Styela clava: one gene and its partner. The main gene of each other region encodes a partner of the protein of the gene in region 2 in a complex. Links are inferred from orthologs where the notes say so. Each region holds a gene or a part of one and is shown on either strand. Other genes may lie near its edges.

The links.
Region 1: ribosome biogenesis protein bop1-like (region 2) and pescadillo homolog share a complex: the UniProt entries of both Homo sapiens proteins name them as parts of the peBoW complex. The link is inferred for Styela clava from reciprocal best matches to the Homo sapiens genes BOP1 and PES1.

Annotation. Positions count from the first base shown.
Region 1 is NC_135252.1:3,712,436-3,722,230, forward strand, and holds the start of pescadillo homolog, read right to left. Parts: upstream 4,094-9,795; 5' UTR 3,955-4,093; coding exon 3,934-3,954; intron 3,828-3,933; coding exon 3,693-3,827; intron 2,866-3,692; coding exon 2,767-2,865; intron 2,690-2,766; coding exon 2,580-2,689; intron 1,895-2,579; coding exon 1,767-1,894; intron 1,497-1,766; coding exon 1,363-1,496; intron 968-1,362; coding exon 743-967; intron 82-742; coding exon 1-81. Other genes in the region: uncharacterized protein K12H4.2-like, read left to right, coding at 4,589-5,398; MICAL-like protein 1, read right to left, coding at 7,826-9,795. UniProt on the Homo sapiens protein: Component of the PeBoW complex, which is required for maturation of 28S and 5.8S ribosomal RNAs and formation of the 60S ribosome.
Region 2 is NC_135260.1:8,270,037-8,279,233, forward strand, and holds the start of ribosome biogenesis protein bop1-like, read right to left. Parts: upstream 3,751-9,197; 5' UTR 3,494-3,750; coding exon 3,446-3,493; intron 3,184-3,445; coding exon 3,120-3,183; intron 2,648-3,119; coding exon 2,475-2,647; intron 1,927-2,474; coding exon 1,772-1,926; intron 1,534-1,771; coding exon 1,416-1,533; intron 904-1,415; coding exon 802-903; intron 461-801; coding exon 344-460; intron 40-343; coding exon 1-39. UniProt on the Homo sapiens protein: Component of the PeBoW complex, which is required for maturation of 28S and 5.8S ribosomal RNAs and formation of the 60S ribosome.

The DNA of each region.
Region 1 (9,795 bases), on a different chromosome or scaffold from region 2:
AGCAACTTCCTCATCCTGGATCCCAGTAGATTGATCATCTATCTCTGTCCTTGCTAACGGTGTGTTAAGACTCGTAACTCTCTGTAAAAATAAACTTGATGTAATTGGTATAATAATAATAAAATAAATATTTTGAATTTAATTGTAAAAGAAATAATCTTGTTCAAGTATATTCACAAAATAAAATGAATTATTGCCAATAGCAAATACCAATATCAATTGCTAATGGAAAATATTTGTTGGCGTATTGGAGTTGAACAATTTACACCACAGATAACAGCAGCCTTTCAATGAGGAACTCTCATGAGGAAGGTCTGTCTCATCAAAAATTTGACTAAAGTCCCTCATTTCATTGCATGTCAAAACTACAAAATTTTATCACGTTGTTGAAGAGAGAAACGTTGTAAGCCCCAATAATTCCACTCGATGGCAACATGTAGCATAATAATTCTAAATGTGACAAAAATGTTTAAGAATGACATTAACAAACCTCAAGGATAAATAAAGCATAACCGGTGTTGCTGAACTGATTTAATTTGCAGAAGTTTCAAATTACTACGCAGAAAAACTTCAATTATTTCACGCCTTGATAATTTTCATGTTTTCTACAAGCTAGTGTCTTTTTCCATATCACGCCTTAGTGAATTTTTTCTGTATAGTAATTCTAAATGTTGGTAAAATACATAGATTTGCTCCGGCTGGGCCTTATTCATCCTCAGTATAAATATAGTTGGTGGCAAACCTCTGAATGAACTTCATTATCCATGCAAAACTTTGGCAGGTCTTTTAGATCTCCATCATCTCTCTTTTCGTCATCTTTTTCAGACTCTGCTGTGCTTGTTATCGATATCCGAGGAGGATAATGTAAATTGATGTCATTATATAATTTGAAAAGAACAAATCCAAGCATATTTCGAAAAAATTCTGTGAACGTCGACATCACTTTGAAATCAACATCTTCTGGGTGCTGAAATATTATTTTAAACGAACATAAAAATGAGATAGAAGCTGTACACAAATCCCAACAGTTCCAGCCAGATGGATCTTGTATTGGATAAAGTAAATTACCTTTTGTAGCAGCGCTTACCATAATAAATGAAGCTAGAGCCAGAGCTTCATAAAATTTCAGTGGTTCCAGCTCCTAACCATCTAATTATTTTTTACTCCAGGATAAAAAATCTATCCTTTTCAGATTGTTTTTATTAATTCAATTTCTAATATTAATACTAGTACTATTTTAGGTAAAATTTTATATTCGAGTTTAATTTTGTGATTTAAAACCCTTGTATCATAATTTTGAGTCAGGAATCTGCAAAACTGCATTCGGGATGATGTTATGTTGTAGTGGTCATATTAACTTACATGATGTGAAAAATTATGTGGTGTAATCCATGTCACTGACTGTCCCATTATCTCAGATTGAAAATATATTCCTTTGATTGAAATAAAGACTTTTCTCAGAGCTTTTGCTTCAATCACATAATGCATGAATTCCACTATAAGAAAAAATATTAATAAATCTAAACATGAGTATTATCTAATTAATATATACAAAAAAGTAGAAAAATAAAGGATGGCATGAGAAAATATACTAATTCTATAAGCCTATCCATAATGTTTGTCAAGCATAAATTACATATTGAACATCAAACACCCCTAGTTCAAACAAGATTCATGAAAGAAATATTTTACTTAAAATCCATGTAATCAAAATAAGCTCATTTTGCAAAGCCTTTTAATCGGGCTGTGTTCAAAAACAAAATTACCTGTAAGCCTTCTACAAAGCTGAACTGTTTCAGAATGAATACTGTGTGATTTTGGTAGATTAGAAAACAAGAAACACATGCACAGAGCATCGTCCAAATCTTGGATAGCTCCTGTAAATGTTGGATATCTGAAAAATATCAATACACCCCTGTCACCAGCACTGTCATAGGAGACAAGTTAATCTAACCTACCTACCGGTATATTGTATAACTCAAGACTGTGTGGGCACCATGTTCTAATGCAGTGGTTCCAAACTGCTGGTCTGCAGACCAGAACGAGCAAATTTCACTTTTCTCTCTCAGTGCAATCGCTTGGTCATAAAAAACATGCAGTTGCATTGCATTATTAGGCGAATTTTTCGGTAAGTGTGGTATTAGCCCCGTGAGTTTCACTCAGTCAAGAACAATAAAACAGCAAATGCAAGAAAAAAGGACACTCATTAAAATGAGACCTCGTTCATGTTTTTCCTATTTTAGTTCCATGCTTTGTGTCAGTCATTTCAATATTTGTTGCCGGTCCGCGAGGTCATTTCATAAGATGTCATCAGTCTGCCAAGTTGAAAAGGTTAGGAACCGCTGACCTAGAGTGTTAGAACTATTTTGACGTAGCAGTTCATCTCTGGTCCAAAACCTCACCAAAGGTGTAATAAAATTGACTGACTTATGAGGGCTCAGGAAATACAAACTAGTTTCTTAAGTAGCAAAGATTTGATAACACTCTATAAAAAGTGAGTGAGATGCTAATTCCAACAAAAATAAAAGCCAAAATTAAAATGACGAGTATTTCAGTAATGCTTATGGAAATATTGTTACCTTTCCCTCACAATGTGATCAATCTTGTAAGTTGGTTTATTTTCTCTCAAGTATGCTGCTCTCGATTTTTCATCCTTTGCCGTTGCTTTTTTCAACTTTTTTATATAAGTCTAAAAAGAGACCAAACACTTACAGCGCTAGTAATTTTAAAATAAATCTGATATAAAAAAGGTTAACCAAGACTTACTTTATGTTCACGAAATTTGCTTATAACAGGTTCGTGTGCCAGAAATTGAATGTCTTTCAAGAAGTAGAATGTACGATTTGCAGTGCTTCCTTTATTCACCTTAAAATAGAATTAGTATAAAAATAATATACAAATTTACAACCCATCAGAAATCCTGTATGATACAAATTTACCTTCATTTCATTTCAATTTTCTAACTCAACTATTGACCACATATAAATAGCTAACAAAAAATTCTCAGAATAAATTGGCTGCAGTCACATCACAAATATCAGAAGCAGAACTGGCAAACAACCTATATCATCATTGAAGGGTATATGTCAAGTGAGTGTAAACTTCAATACAAAAGCATCAGATACAAATAACTGGGTGGAACCAGGACAGCAACTTTCATTTAACATAAACTTTCTAGAGCAGGAACAAACACCAATAATTTTACTTTACCGCAGGGGTGTGCAACCTGCGGCCCTCAAGTAAAAATTGGAGAAGTGCCAATTTTGAATGATGTGTTTAATTTAATTCGGTATGTGCGAGAATTTTCAATCCCTCTGCGATGCGAAGATATCAGTGTCTTAGCAGCTGGTTTGTCGCATGTCGTCTCGACGCATGTCACAAGATCCAATAACCAAAATTTTTGTGCCCACGCAACTACTAGATAGTCTATGTTAAAAAAAGGTGTGGCCCGCCGTTTCAGTCAGTTATTTCTATCTGTCCCTCCTCTATAGATGAGTCAGTTGATTATAATTGAATAGTATAAAACAAGAATGTGACCTTATATTACTAAAGCTCATATATCAACGATTGTATCATTGTGACAAAAACATTTATCAATAACTGCAAAAAATACCATATTCAGATAATCTGGCGTCAATAAATTATAATCAACTATTGAAATTCTTTAGATGCTTGACAAAACAAAAATTCACCTTCTTTTTATGTGCTGGTTCATGAGGATAAATGCCCTTTAGAATACAAATTCGTCGAAAGTTGGCCAAACTGAGCTGAAGTCTCTTGCAAGCATGCTTTCGAGTTATGTATTGCGTTGCAGCTCCGGCTTCATGCTAAACAGATAACATAGTTTCACAGTGAATATGAGTGCTTGGTATATAAAAGTAAAAAGATAAGTCAAAAAATTATGTAATAATTATATAAATTATACATAAATACCTTCTTTTTTATTCTTCCCATGTCAGATAAGATGTTTGGTAGCAATAGATCACAGCGACGTTATTCCAAATCTCTACCAAAACGTGGATCTATCATAGAGGAGTCATACATCGGTGTTTCCCCTCTTATTCAGCACGTGGTTTGTGATCTGAAGCGTGAAATAAGGTTTGTCGTCAATGAATATTAAAAAGAAGAAGCGTTTATTGATTTCTAGTGTTATTCGTACTTTTCATAAAATTTAAATTGTCATTCCATATTTTATTCGATCTCATTAGTTTTTATTTCTTGACAGTTGTGGGACTCTCTAGCGGGACTTGTGGGCCGACTTGAACTGGTGAACACATTTTCCCTCAAGTTATTTGTTGTGTAGCAAATGGCTTCTATTGTGCATGGGAGGTCGGTGTTGAGGTTCGAAATCAAAGTTCCCATGAAAAACGCTAAACATGCGTTGATTGCAAAGAATACTCTGATTGTAGACGTTGAGCCTCGAAGGCAATTGGTGGATAAAGTGATTGAAGTAAACAATAATTTACTCTGCGTATACTGGACCGCAGCTGAGGCGCGACTTTTACGAGTATCTGTGAATTCCTTATTGAATAATCTTCGGCTCATTGTTGACACAATTGAGGGGTTTAGCATAGACTAATTTGCTATTATGTCGACGATGTTTATTCGGAATATTTTGAAGCGCTTTCAGCCCCTCAGGAGTGGACGCTTCATTTGTCATTCATGTGAACTATGCAGCCCCACTTACAATCAATGTAATTCTACTGCCTATTATTCTCGTTCTCATGAGACTAGTGAAAACTTGGAAAGTCCACCAACATCTGGTTCAACAGTCTCGTGGGATACTATAAGACGACAAGATAAATCAGACTTTCTATCAAAAAAACGGGGGGTACTCGATCTAGATGAGGTCATTCAGTTTTTAAACGAGGAAGGCTCATTGGACATCGTTGTAATTGAAGTTCCCAAAAAAATGTGCTATGTTGACCACTTTATTATATGCACTGCAACGTCGGCAAGGCATGTTGCAAGCATTGCTGAAATGGCAAACAAGTTGTATAAGTCGAAACGAAGGGGTATGCAACCTTTCACACTTATTGAAGGAAAAAGAATTAGTGATGATTGGCAGTGCATAGACATGGGAAATATGGTGATTCATATAATGCTTGAAGACACTCGTGAAAAGTATAACCTCGAAAAGTTATGGACTCTGGGTCATAAATATGATGACTTGATGAATGAGAAGCCTTCGGACGAAGAGATCATGAAAAGATTATCAATGGATGGTCTAAATTTAATGTCTATGAATGAAGATACTGTTAAAGCTTTGGGAAACCTTGAAGACCTCAACCCATGGGATAATCCACCAGAAGACTTTTTTGATATGTCATCAAAATCTGACAAGAATGAGTCAAATGTGGATGACACACTCGAGGATGACGATGCTTTCTTAGTTTAATGAGGAGAGTAGACAACAATCATTAGATGATATATCTCAATGTAGATATAATTTTTTTAACCAAGAAGAAAATGCACTCAAATGAACCTTTACCCCAAATGTTTTCCTGTTTCACTTTGTTGAACACAAGCTACTGTCGTTACAAATGAATGGGAAGATTTTTAGAATCTTGGCTTTTACACATTGTACTAGAACCACACTTCTCACTATCAATAACCATACCCACTGATGTGAAACCTTATTGAGACTGTTCAATCTAAAATGATGAATTTGATTTTGTGTGCTGGTCTACTCGAAAACATTCATAAAGCTCTTTTCATTCCGAGTAAATGCTTCAATTCCACAAGCACTCAGCAAAAATATGATTGAGCATTCAGACCAGACCTACAGGACGTGTGGGCCTTGAGGTGATTTAAATAACTTATGCATATAAAATATGTAAGAGGGTGGGGCCAAAGACCAATTATAAGTCAATTCTATATAAATTCATTTAATTCTAAATGCTCAATTGACATCCAAGTTGGCCACTTTCGTCGATTTTGGCACTACGATTCTTTGTTACAACATACTAGCTCGTGCGCTTTAAGGGACAAATGTATGACAGCGTATGCAATAGAGATGTTCGGTTCCAGCATTTTTCAACATAACAACAATGACTGAAAAAAAAGATACAACATCCCAACAAAAGATGGTTGTGTCGAATTGATCATGTGTTACACTGTTTACACATTACGAACAATATGACACGATACAAGTTATATGGTGATAATGATAACTTGCGTCCTGCAAACAATTGTTTCGTCTGTTGCAGCCCTTTCTTTTATTTGAGTTATGCAGGCCTGATTTTGACGAACAAAAAATATAGTTCACTGGCAAACTTGAATGTAACTTAAATCATTGGTCAAAAACATTTTTATAAATCAAGACTATGTGTATGGCCAAATCGTCAAAGGTAATGTGTGCATAACTTGCCTATGTTACCATTCTGTATTGATTTTTTTTATTTAATAAATATTTACAAACGAGTCTGAAATAAGTGAATTTTTGGCTTAGGACTGTAATTCACGAAAGGTGGATTGAATCGATAAAAAAGGCTAAGTTTCCTTCAAAGCCTTCCATCATGTTGAAGTCACAAGTATTTTTGGCTCAATTCACATCATCATCTGAGATTAGAGCCAAGTTACAAAGATTCCAACCTTCAGCTAAACCCGACAAATTATGAAAAGCAAACACAAAGTCTTATTGTCCTCATAATACATCTTTCATGGGCTTTCTGCTTGCTACCTAATTGTAAATGTCCATAATATGCAACAAAAGATTTTTGTTATGATATATAATGTAGATATACATAGTTAAAACTTTGCTTAGCATATGTAATGATATAGAGAAAATTGGTGAAATGCATACAATCAAGCAGTAATAGGGCAAGCGAGTCAGCAATATAGAAATAAGAATAGTGAGCTCTGATCTGCTAAAACATAAATTTAAAAAAATGGCTGTCAGGCATTGAAACACTGTTAATAAACACTTGTGCAGATTCTGTGGACCAGCCACAGGTTTGGCAACTGTATTGTATGGTTTGAACTTTCAAATGCTAATTCTATTTGCAGTGTAATATTCAACTGCAGTCTCAGGACTTATTTACAAAAGCGATGGCATCAAAAAGTTCAGCTCAATAAAATCAAATGTTATAACTCCTAATTATCTGAAAAATTCAACCAATTAACGGCTTATCCTAAAAATCGAAGCATTAAAATTATGGTATCTTAAGGATTGTCAACTAAAACTGATTGCTGTGCAATATTTCAACACCAAAAGACAGATTGCACGGAAAATAATTACTGTCATGAATCTGGTGCAATGCTAATAAGGGTATTCGGACTATAGCCATTGGTGTAGGTATGACAATGATAGTACATATAATACATATATGTCCCTTTTATAAATGCATGAAAATGTCAATTATTGGTGTTCTAAATAATGATGAAATGTGCAATACTAAATAAAAATTTATGTATATAAGCAACACATACGAAATGCGTATGGTTAGTACTATTTATCCTCATTTTTGGCCGAATTTAACAGACAGTGATTGTATTGGACATACAAAATTATCCATTTCTATGATTGCTCTAGCAAACAAATTTGTTTTATGAGTCAATGTCATTAAAGATAATATTTGTATCTTAAATCTTCACAATTCCAAATATAGAAAGTATTTATATATACAATGTTTAGAAGTCGTAGGGGTGAGTTGCCAGTCAATGATATGATTTATAGGGATACTTAATTTCATTTAGCTCATAAAAATATTAGTGAATCATGTATGAGTCATGTATATTTATATATCTATGTAACGGAGGATGTGTTTTAGGTAGAAAACAATCATTCCTTATGATAAAATCAGTAACATAGTTTTTATTGCGTTCACTTTGTCTTAGCAGTATTTTCTTTGTCTGTTTTGCCTTTCTTGCTGAACATCTTCTTGACTTTATTCTTCTTTTTCTTTTTGCTTGGATTCTGTTGTAACCTTTTCATTTTTTCATACGCTGAATCTTCCTCTGCCTCTTTCACGCGTTCTTCTTCAATGGAATTAACAATTACATTCCTCCGTTCAACAACCTCAAGAAGTTTTTGCAGCAGATTTTCTTCATCGATTTTATCTTGATCAGTTTTAGTAGACTCCGGTTTGTTAAAAAGCTTCCGCAATTGAAATTCAATATCTGCATGCTCCTGTTCATGTTTTTGTTGTTGCATCTGAAACACAAGGTCAGACTCTTGCCTGAGCAATTGATTTTTCTTATTAACCAGTTGAAACCACTCCTGCAGCAACTCATCTTCTTCTGATGTCCACTCACATTCACTATCCATTGCAAACCGCAACATTTCTTCTAATTTTACACCCTTTGTTTCATAATCAGTTAATTGAACATCGAGTAACTTCAATTCGTTAGCAATCTCTTGTTCCGACATTTTTATTTCTACTTTTCGCTTAACAAGTGGATATCCATACCCAGGTGCTGAACGGGCCTTGGGGCTTTTGTGCATGGCTCTAGCTTTTGAAGACGACTGTGGCTTGGTACTATTTTTAGTATAGCGTGGATCTTTTTCATTAGCCTTATTCAATTCAACCATTTTCTGACTTGATGTATCCTTCCATCCTGGTGGCCTAGATGGGGCAGCTGTTTTTTTGTGTGGTGATTGTGTTGATAGAAGAGCTGAAGTTGATTTTGGTGGTGCTGGAGCTGGCCGTTTCTTCTTTACTACTATCTTGTCATCAAGTTTTGCAGAATTCTTATAAACTTCAGTATTAAAAGGGTTGACTCTATCAACAGCTTTATTCTTAGGCTCTTCTTCATCTGCATCTCCAAATGGATTTCCTTCATTATCCGACTCTTTATTGGAAACTTCTTCAGGCTGATCAATTTCTGGTGGATCACCAAAAGGATTGCCGCCTTCATCTGCACTATTCTCATCATTGATGATCTCAGTAAGTTTATCTTCTGTTCTCTCGTTTTTAGATGCATCTTCCTTTCTCTCCTGTACTTTGGGGGTAATTTCAAACGGATTGCCATCTTCTTCAGAGGATGTAGAAGATAGAGTAGTGTCAGAATCTGACCCAGATTCCAATTCAAATGGATTCAACGATTTCCTATAGGATGCTTTAGAATTATCTTCGACTTGATTTGAGTCATTGCTAACATCTTTAGAACGAGGCCGTGCAACTGGAACTGGAGCAATTGGTTTTTCCTCATTAGAATGCAAAGTTCTTGCTCTGGGTTTCGGCTTTGTTGGTGAACTCTTGATTTCGCTTTGTTGTTTGTTAGTATGTCTGGCGACTGGTAACTCACTGACAAGAGATGGAGCTACATCATTAGGATTGTTTGGTAGTGGTTTATTTTCTGTGGTTGGTGAAGGTGTAATTTCTGCCATATTGACTGTTTTAACTTCGGCATCTGCTAGAGACTGAACCATATTTGGCAATTCTTCTAGTCGATTCGGTTTAGTGTAGTTTTCCCTTTCAGATACAACAGTGGGCACTGGCTTATGTACGACATTTTTGGTCGTCTCTTGCTCGACTGCAGTTTTCGCTTTCTCTTCATCATTTACATTTTTCTTAGGCAACTCTGGCTCATCTTGGTGTTTTATGAAGTAATTTTTACCTCTGATTTTTTCAAGAGAATCATTTCTGTGACATGTTCGATGGTAAAGCTTGCCTTCATCAAAGTATCTTTGAACCAAATGAACCCGTTTTCCACAAATACAACATATACTATCATCTGTTGATCTTCTCTGAGGAGAAGCTGTCTTACTTGGACTTCCAGCTGTAACGGGATTAAGTACTGGTGCATCTGGCTGTGTTGTTTCCTCTGGCTTGCAGTGACGGAAACAATTAT
Region 2 (9,197 bases):
AGGAATATGCATCTTACGACGAGCAATTTGACTGTGTGACTGGAATTTAATACAAGAAAAAATATAAAATATTTTACTATTCAATTATTATTGCAATCACAAAGAGAGAGAGAGAGAGAGAGAGACATAATCATATGACAAACCATGCCTTCTGATACCGTTACGAGTTACCAGTTTTAGGAATAGCCAAGAAGTTGGATGTTTCATGTTTATGGATTTAATTAGTAAACAGGCAAACGATCTATGCAGACTAGAATATTTACAGAGTGGCCTACATAGTAATTTTTTCAAAATATTTGAAACCGATAATTGAGCAAAAATTTCATATTTTCTTTATGCTCACCAAGTTTTCATCTTTGCTATCTGCCCACAAATCAAAAAATACAGGTTGTTCATCTTCTTTTTTCTCTTTTCTAGGTTTTAACCAACCCATCTTGATGGCATGCACAAGTTTCCCAACCTAGAAATGTATTCAACAAAAACTGTTAAATCTGTAGTTTTACGTGTTTACATTAATATCAGAGTCGAGGCCAGATTTGTGTTTCAATATTCCCGGAGAATTCGGGAAATATTCGTTCGAAATTTTGAACTTCCAATACTGGTGAGCAAGGTCAAAATTTGAATGGAAACTGAAAAGCCTAACCCATTCCCATTTGATCATTTTGAAAGATGAATATTTAATGATTTTAAAACAAAAACACTTTGTTGAAATACAGTTCTAGCCATCAAACATATACCTGTTGGTCACAATTCAAATAGCAAACTGTTTCATTTCGCCAACTCAAAATTCTTACTACTGACCTTAAGTTTTTCATGATGTGATGGTGTAAAACTTCTCTTGTGTGCTGGTGCATTGTTGATAGGATGAATCATTTTTTCATGTGTGAAGAAATCGACATAAGGCTAAATAGCAAAAGACAAAACCTTATAATCCAGATCTTTGAAATAAAAAGCAAAAACTTCCTTCATTCAATAGAAACAAGCCAGGGAGGCTAATTATACTGAGATACATATCTCCTATTCCCGAGCTTCCATACTCTTTTTTTATTTCATACCTATAACGACGCTCCAGAAGTGTGTGTACCAAAATGGAGGTGACTAATTTTGTTCGCTTACTTTACATCAAGTTGTATAAAGGGACTGAAACCTATGGGCAGGGGGTATATTCACTTGGCTAACACAGACAGTCCACGAACTCGTAATAGAACTAAAATGAGAAAAATCGGAATAAGATTATGGCCCAACCCTGACCTGGTACACAAAATACAGGAGTACACCTGAGTCTATACCTGCTTTACCAACAAAATCCACTAAAGGTATGTCTCACAAAATCTAGGGGAAAATAATTTATGTATCTATTCCCTTATTAAGTCTTCAAGTTTGACGCTTATTTTTAAAACAAATTGATATGTTACCTCATAGGGATCGATTGTTGAATTATAAAATTTTCCAGTCTTAAGTCTTGACACAAGTTGCAATTCATCTTCAGTCAATTTATGATCACGAGCTGTGTTTTCATCATAAACAGTTTTCCTGAGAAAATGAAATCATAAATAGAATTAGCACCAATACTATAGACAGCAGTAGGTGGTTCAGATATTACCCATATTATATTTTCAAAGCCCAGATCATTAAAGTAAAGAGTTTAGAGACTCTTATTTAACCAAGAATTGTAGAAAACACAAGGTACAGCTGTAATATAGAAACACCAGACAATAAATTATTAAAATTCCTTAAATAAAAAAATAAATCCTTGATTCCAATATCTTACCAATAATCAGGATTGTCCATTTTGTCTAAAAATTTATCCAGTTCATCCATATTTCTGATGGGTTTAGATATTTGTTTCCCATCCAAGTCATAACCGATATGTGGGAAATTCTCGTACCATTTCATAGGTATATTTCCTACTGTGTTCCTAATATCCTGTAAATGAAGAAAATATACATATTACATAAACACCATCGGAAACATGGGAGGAAAAATGGTGCTACGCCAGGTGATTCGAATTGAGATATTCACATTTAGCAATAGGCAGTAATTTGAAAACTGTTGGCTATCTCTGAGAAATTTTCTTTTCCATATGACGCTTACTCATGTCTTTCATACTTGTACTAGCAGCAACTGATATCTAATGACATGTGTGGAATCGTTCTCGTTCGACATTGCCTATCTAATTTATTACAAGCTGGGTAAAACTAATTATAGACTATATTTTTTTATGGTTCTGTTTCAAATAAATGTAAAATTAAATTAAATGTTTCAAATAAATGTGATAAAAAATTCATTTTATAATTTTAATAATAATAATAATTTTAGCAATAGACCTTTCTGAATGATATTTTTCTTTTGATGTCGTTTTTTTAGACAAATTCACTCAAAGATTATTTGTTGTTGGATATTCGCAACAACAGACTTTGTTGAAGTGCACATTCAACAGATCTATGATATTCTTATATTATATACAATGTTACCTCTTCATCAGATGTGTCATTATCATCATTATTGGCATCTGTAACGTCAGAGGATGGTGTTACTCGCTTTATGATTGATGAAGATTCTGTTTTCTCTTGATCCTGATTTCTTTCATCACTCAATTTTAAATAATCTTCATCAACACCAGAATCTTCACTTGATAAATCAAAATCTGGGAAAATAATGAATGGAATAAAGCATAGCCCAAAAAATTGAGTTGGCGTACAATAGCGTAAATATTGACAAAATGAATCCATTCAGCAGTGCGGATAAGATAGATAGTTAATCTTGAAAAATTCATACATTAATAAACACTAATAGAAAGAGAAAATTCTGGAGAGCGAGCAAAACCTCGCAAAATAAATATAGACATATTATTGGAATTTTAGTCCGATGTTTCTGTTCGTGCTTTAATTGGAATGGCGTCATGTTTGAATCTTCATAAAGTAAATGTTTTCGACTCCCAGGGTTTGAAATTTCAAGCATGATTATTTGAGCAGGTAGGATTGGAAAATGAAATTTTCTAGAAAAAATTTTGTTACCAAGAGTGACAGATTGAGTCAAAATTTTAAGAAATGAATTGATGAAAATGTTCTCGGGAATTTAACAAGATCAATAAATTTCATAAACACAATGTTAATTACCTGACTCATTTTCACTCAGTTCATCTTCAGAGGACTCCTCTATCTTTATATTAGTGTCAAGAATCTGAATAAATAGAATAATAATATGACCGTCAAAAAATATTTCAGTATTTATATTGTCTCATATCTGCATATGTGATTACAGGATTAGTGCATAGAGGAGTACTGGAGTAGGTTAGGTCAGGTAATTTAGTAACTGCTGGTCCCAATGCTGTTTATGTCAGTAGTAATAACTTATGACGTTACCAATATTTGAAAGTTTGTGGAATTTTAAATATTTTAAAATCTGGAAATAAAATCTTCAGTTTTACAGAATTGTCACTTACTTTATTACTATCGTCATCCAGCTTCCGCTTTTCAATTGACTTCCTCATTCTAATCCAAGTGTGAGATCTTTTTAATTACTACAAATCAAATTGTTTATGCAATACTGCAATACCGGTACCCTGACCTGACAGCAGGAAAGTATGTCGGTATGGTACGTACAGACAGACGTACGGTAGGCTACTCTGGACAGAAAAATAAATCAATCAATTACAAACTTGCTGACAAAAAACTCTTCAATAATCAGGCACTATCAGTCAGTCAGTAGGTCAGCATGGGAAAATATGGCAAAAGCATCGCATGGTGACATGCTTGTGCTTTTCTTCAAAAACGTGAAAACAAACCCTTCGTAAAAAACAGGACTCCAACCACCGTCGTTACACCGATGCAATTCTGATACAGGAGACATTGCATGGCAAAAATATCTAATGGTCATTTCTGAAGCATTATATGGAAAGAAGCAATTATCAAGTTGACAAAGCACAAAAATCAAAAACTGAAATGTATTAGAGAATGCGAAAATAAGCAGATTTATATTGGTATCCGTAGTTATAAATGATATTTTACTGGATAAGATAAATGGGAAAAAGTATTAACGAAGTTTGAAGAACTTAAAAGGAAAACATCAAAAAGAATCCAGGGTAAGGTCGCTGCGCTACCCGCGAGGGGAAATGTATGGAAATATTTGTAGTAAATTTAGAAGCATATGTTTGTTTGAAGTTTGTTGGAGGACCCGGGTCGTTGCGCCGGACGAATGACGGAAATTCGTCCGGCGCTGTGCCCCCGACCACTCTAGTCCATTAGGAAGTTCAAATACCCTGTAATAAACTGATCACCCCTTACCGGAGTCGAATTTTTCCAATTTTAAGGTCCGTGATCACTCAACCGTTACGAAATTTTTTTGACATAAACTAGACCTCAACTACCTTGCATGACCCGAATATGGCGCCTCTACCTTCTACCATTCTCGAGATATAACGTGAAATCACTGGGGCGTGACTGAGGTGATGGAGAAATAAAATTTCTTTCAAAATAGATTCAAATAATTTTTCTAAACATGCCCATGCCTTTACTTTCTCAACAGGTCCTTTCAGAGGCCCGCAATAAGCCAAAATCACTAGACCATGACTGGGGAGTGAGAGAAAAAAAATTTCTTGAAAAAAGCATTAAACTAAATTTTCCCAACATATCTATCTATTTTATTTCTCGATAGCTCAATTTTTAGGTGCGCAACCTTCTTACGCCACTGGAGGGCGATTGGGAGGGGGAATTCCCAAGATTCAGGTGGTGAAATATTCTATATATTAGTCCCTTTGAGGTTTAAGCATCACTTTGCCCCAAAACCAATTCCAAGTGCTCCTAATAGCCCAAAAACCATATTATCTAAGTGGGCGTGGCTTTCCACACGTTTTCTCACCACTGGGGGGGCGGTGGCAGTGCCCCCACCCCCAATTGCACTTGGAAAAAATCCCAATACTCGGGCAAACGCTTTCTGGCCCCGGAAACGCAGCTAAACGACTTCTAAACCCCAAAATCACTCTTGCGAGACTTGATTGACAGCTTGAAATAATTAATGTCACGCAACCTTAAATTTGGGCCACCAAAAGCCCGTTTTGGCCCACTTCCTTTGGCCCGATCGTTCTGAAAAATTTTATTTGCTATTTTGGTAACTGCACCCTACTACATGCCAAGTTTCGTTCCGATCGGCCCGCCAGTTTTCTGGGAAATGGTAACTCGATGGGTCTTAGCCAAGAGACTTCGTCACATTATTTTTGCCCTACGCGCAAAGTCTTTTGACCATTACTGTGCATACGCACTAAAGTGCTACACTGTTGCCTGACCATCCAGGGGAAGGTCGCTACGCTACCCGCGAGGGGAAATGTATGGAAATATTTTTAGTAAATTAAGAAGCAGATGTTTGTTTGAAGTTTGTTGGAGGACCCGGGTCGTTGCGTCGGACGAATGGCGGAAATTCGTCCGGCGCTGTGCCCCCGACCCCTCTAGTCCATTAAGAAGTTCAAATACCCTGTAATAAACTGATCACCCCTAACCGGAGTGGAATTTTTCTAATTTTAAGGTCCGTGATCACTCAACCGTGACGAATTTTTTTTGCCATAAACTACCCCTCAACTACCTTGTATGACCCGAATATGGCACCTCTACCTTCTACCATTCTCCAGATATAACGTAAAATCACTGGAGCGTGACTGAGGAGATGGAGAAATAAAATTTCTTTCAAAATAGATTCAAATAATTTTTCTAAACATGCCCATGCCTTTACTTTCTCAACAGGTCCTTTCAGAGGCCTGCAATAAGCCAAAATCACTAGACCATGACTGGGGAGTGAGAGAAAAAAAATTTCTTGAAAAAAGCATTAAACTAAATTTTCCCAACATACCTATCTATTTTATTTCTCGATATCTTCGTTTTTAGGTGCGCAACCTTCTTACGCCACTGGAGGGCGATTGGGAGGGGGAAGTCCCAAAGTTGAGGTGGTGAAATATTCTATATATTGGTCCCTTTGAGATTTGAGCATCACTTTGCCCAAAAACCAATTCCAAGTGCTCCTAATAGCCCCAAAACGATATTACCTAAGTGGGCGTGGCTTTCCACACGTTTTCTCACCATTGGGGGGGCGGTGGCACTGCCCCCACCCCCAAATATACTTGGAAAAATTCCCAATACTCGGGCAAACGCTCTCCGACCCCGGAAACAGAGCTAAACGGCCTCTAAACCCCAAACTCACTCTCGCGTGACTTGACGGACAGCCGATTGACCAATCAGCAGCTTCGGGCCACTAAAATCCCGTTTTGGCCCACTTCCTTTGGCCCGATCGCTCCCAAAAATTTTCTGTGTTCTTTTGGTAACTAGCCCCCGCTACATGCAAAGTTTCGTCCGGATCGGCCCTGTGGTTCTTCAGATAATAGTGATTCACGGTCGCTTAGAGTAGTTAGCTTTAGCTATTGACTTTCGTGCAACGAAATTTGATTCTATACTGTGCATACGCACTTTCAGTGCTCTCGGGTTGCCTAACCATCCAGAATAAACGTCTGCCTGCGGCACACGACGAGGGGGGCCGCGGGCGCACAAATGGTTGGTTGGGCTCAGGCCGGTTTTGTCTACGACGCTCGGGCCGCCATCCGTTGCGTCGGACGGATCGCGGCATGATCCGACCGACGCCATCGGCCCCCCCTAACATAAAGGGTTTCAACGGTACGGACTGGAGTATATTTTTATCAATTTTAAGGTCCGTGATCACTCGACCATGACGAAATTTTATAGGCATAAACTTTACTCCAACTACCTCGTATACCCCAAATACGAGACCCCTATCTATTACCGTTCTCGAGATATGGCCTAAAATCACTGGACCGTGACTGAAGGCTAATAGAAAAAAAATTTTGCTGATACGTGATTGGAATAATTTTTCTGATCACGCCCATGCCTTTAGATTCTTGATATGACCTCTCAGAAGCCGGCAAAAGGCCAAAATCACTAGACCGTGACGGAGGCACGGGAGCAAAAAAATTTCTTGGAAAAAGTATTAAACTAAACTTTCTCAACCTACCTATGTATTTTTTTTCCTCAATATCTCAAATCTTAAGCGCAACATTCCGAACTCACTGGACCGTTACGGGGAAGGGGAATCCCCAAAGTTGAGGTGGTAATATATTCTATTAATTAGTCCCTTCCATAAATATGCATCACTTTGCCCCAAAACCGATTCCAAAGACTCCTAATCGTCCAAAAACCATATTACCCAAGTGGGCGTGGCTTTCCACAAGTTTTCTCACCACTGGGGGGGCGGGGGCACTTCCCCCACCCCCAAACATGTTTGGAAAAATTCCCAATGCCCGGGCGAACTGTTTCCCGGCCCGGAAACGCAGCCAAACGGCTTCTAAACCCCAAAATCACTCTTGCGTGACTTGACTGACAGCCCATTGACCAATCAGCAGCTTTGGGCCACTAAAAGCCAGTTTTGGCCCACTTGCCCTGGCCCGATCGTTCCGAAAAATTTTCTTTGTTAGTTTCCCCCCGTCCCCCATCTTTTGACACCTCGGGCGTGTCTCTACCATTTGCGGTTCTCCGAAAACACTCACTACTAGAGCCGTCGCCTATATTACCCACATATCATACACTTGGCCGCCGGCTTTCGATTTCTGTTGCAACTATCGTTGCCATATGCACTGACGTGGGCGGAATAGCATCCAGAATAAACGTCTGCCTGCGGCACACGACGAGGGGGGCCGCGGGCGCACAAATGGTTGGTTGGGCTCAGGCCGGTTTTGTCTACGACGCTCGAGCCGCAATCTGTTGCGTCGGACGGATCGCGGCATGATCCGACCGACGCCATCGGCCCCCCCTAACATAAAGGGTTTCAACGGTACGGACTGGAGTATATTTTTATCAATTTTGAGGTCAGTGATCACTCGACCGTGACGAAATTCTATAGGCATAAACTTTACTCCAACTACCTCGTATACCCCAAATACGAGACCCCTATCTATTACCGTTCTCGAGATATGGCCTAAAATCACTGGACCGTGACTGAAGGCTAATAGAAAAAAAATTTTGCTGATACGTGATTGGAATAATTTTTCTGATCACGCCCATGCCTTTAGATTCTTGATATGACCTCTCAGAAGCCGGCAAAAGACCAAAATCACTAGACCGTGACAGAGGCACGGGAGCAAAAAAATTTCTTGAAAAAAGTATTAAACTAAACTTTCTCAACCTACCTATGTATTTTTTTTCCTCAATATCTCAAATCTTAAGCGCAACATTCCGAACTCACTGGACCGTTACGGGGAAGGGGAATCCCCAAAGTTGAGGTGGTAATATATTCTATTAATTAGTCCCTTCCATAAATATGCATCACTTTGCCCCAAAACCGATTCCAAAGACTCCTAATCGTCCAAAAACCATATTACCCAAGTGGGCGTGGCTTTCCACACGTTTTCTCACCACTGGGGGGGCGGGGGCACTTCCCCCACCCCCAAACATGTTTGGAAAAATTCCCAATGCCCGGGCGAACCGTTTCCCGGCCCGGAAACGCAGCCAAACGGCTTCTAAACCCCAAAATCACTCTTGCGTGACTTGACTGACAGCCCATTGACCAATCAGCAGCTTTGGGCCACTAAAAGCCAGTTTTGGCCCACTTGCCCTGGCCCGATCGTTCCGAAAAATTTTCTTTGTTAGTTTCCCCCCGTCCCCCATCTTTTGACACCTCGGGCGTGTCTCTACCATTTGCGGTTCTCCGAAAACACTCACTACTAGAGCCGTCGCCTATATTACCCACATATCATACACTTGGCCGCCGGCTTTCGATTTCTGTTGCAACTATCGTTGCCATATGCACTGACGTGGGCGGAATAGCATCCAGGGGAAGGTCGCTACGCTACCCGCGAGGGGAAATGTATGGAAATATTTTTAGTAAATTAAGAAGCATTTGTTTGTTTGAAGTTTGTTGGAGGACCCGGGTCGTTGCGCCGGACGAATGACGGAAATTCGTCCGGCGCTGTGCCCCCCGACCCCGCTAGTCCATTAAGAAGTTCAAATACCCTGTAATAAACTGATCACCACTAACCGGAGTCGAATTTTTCCAATTATAAGGTCCGTGATCACTCAACCGTGACGAATTTTTTTTGACATAAACTAGACCTCAACTACCTTGTATGACCCAAATATGGCACCTCTACCTTCTACCATTCTCCAGATATAACGTAAAATCACTGGAGCGTGACTGAGGAGATG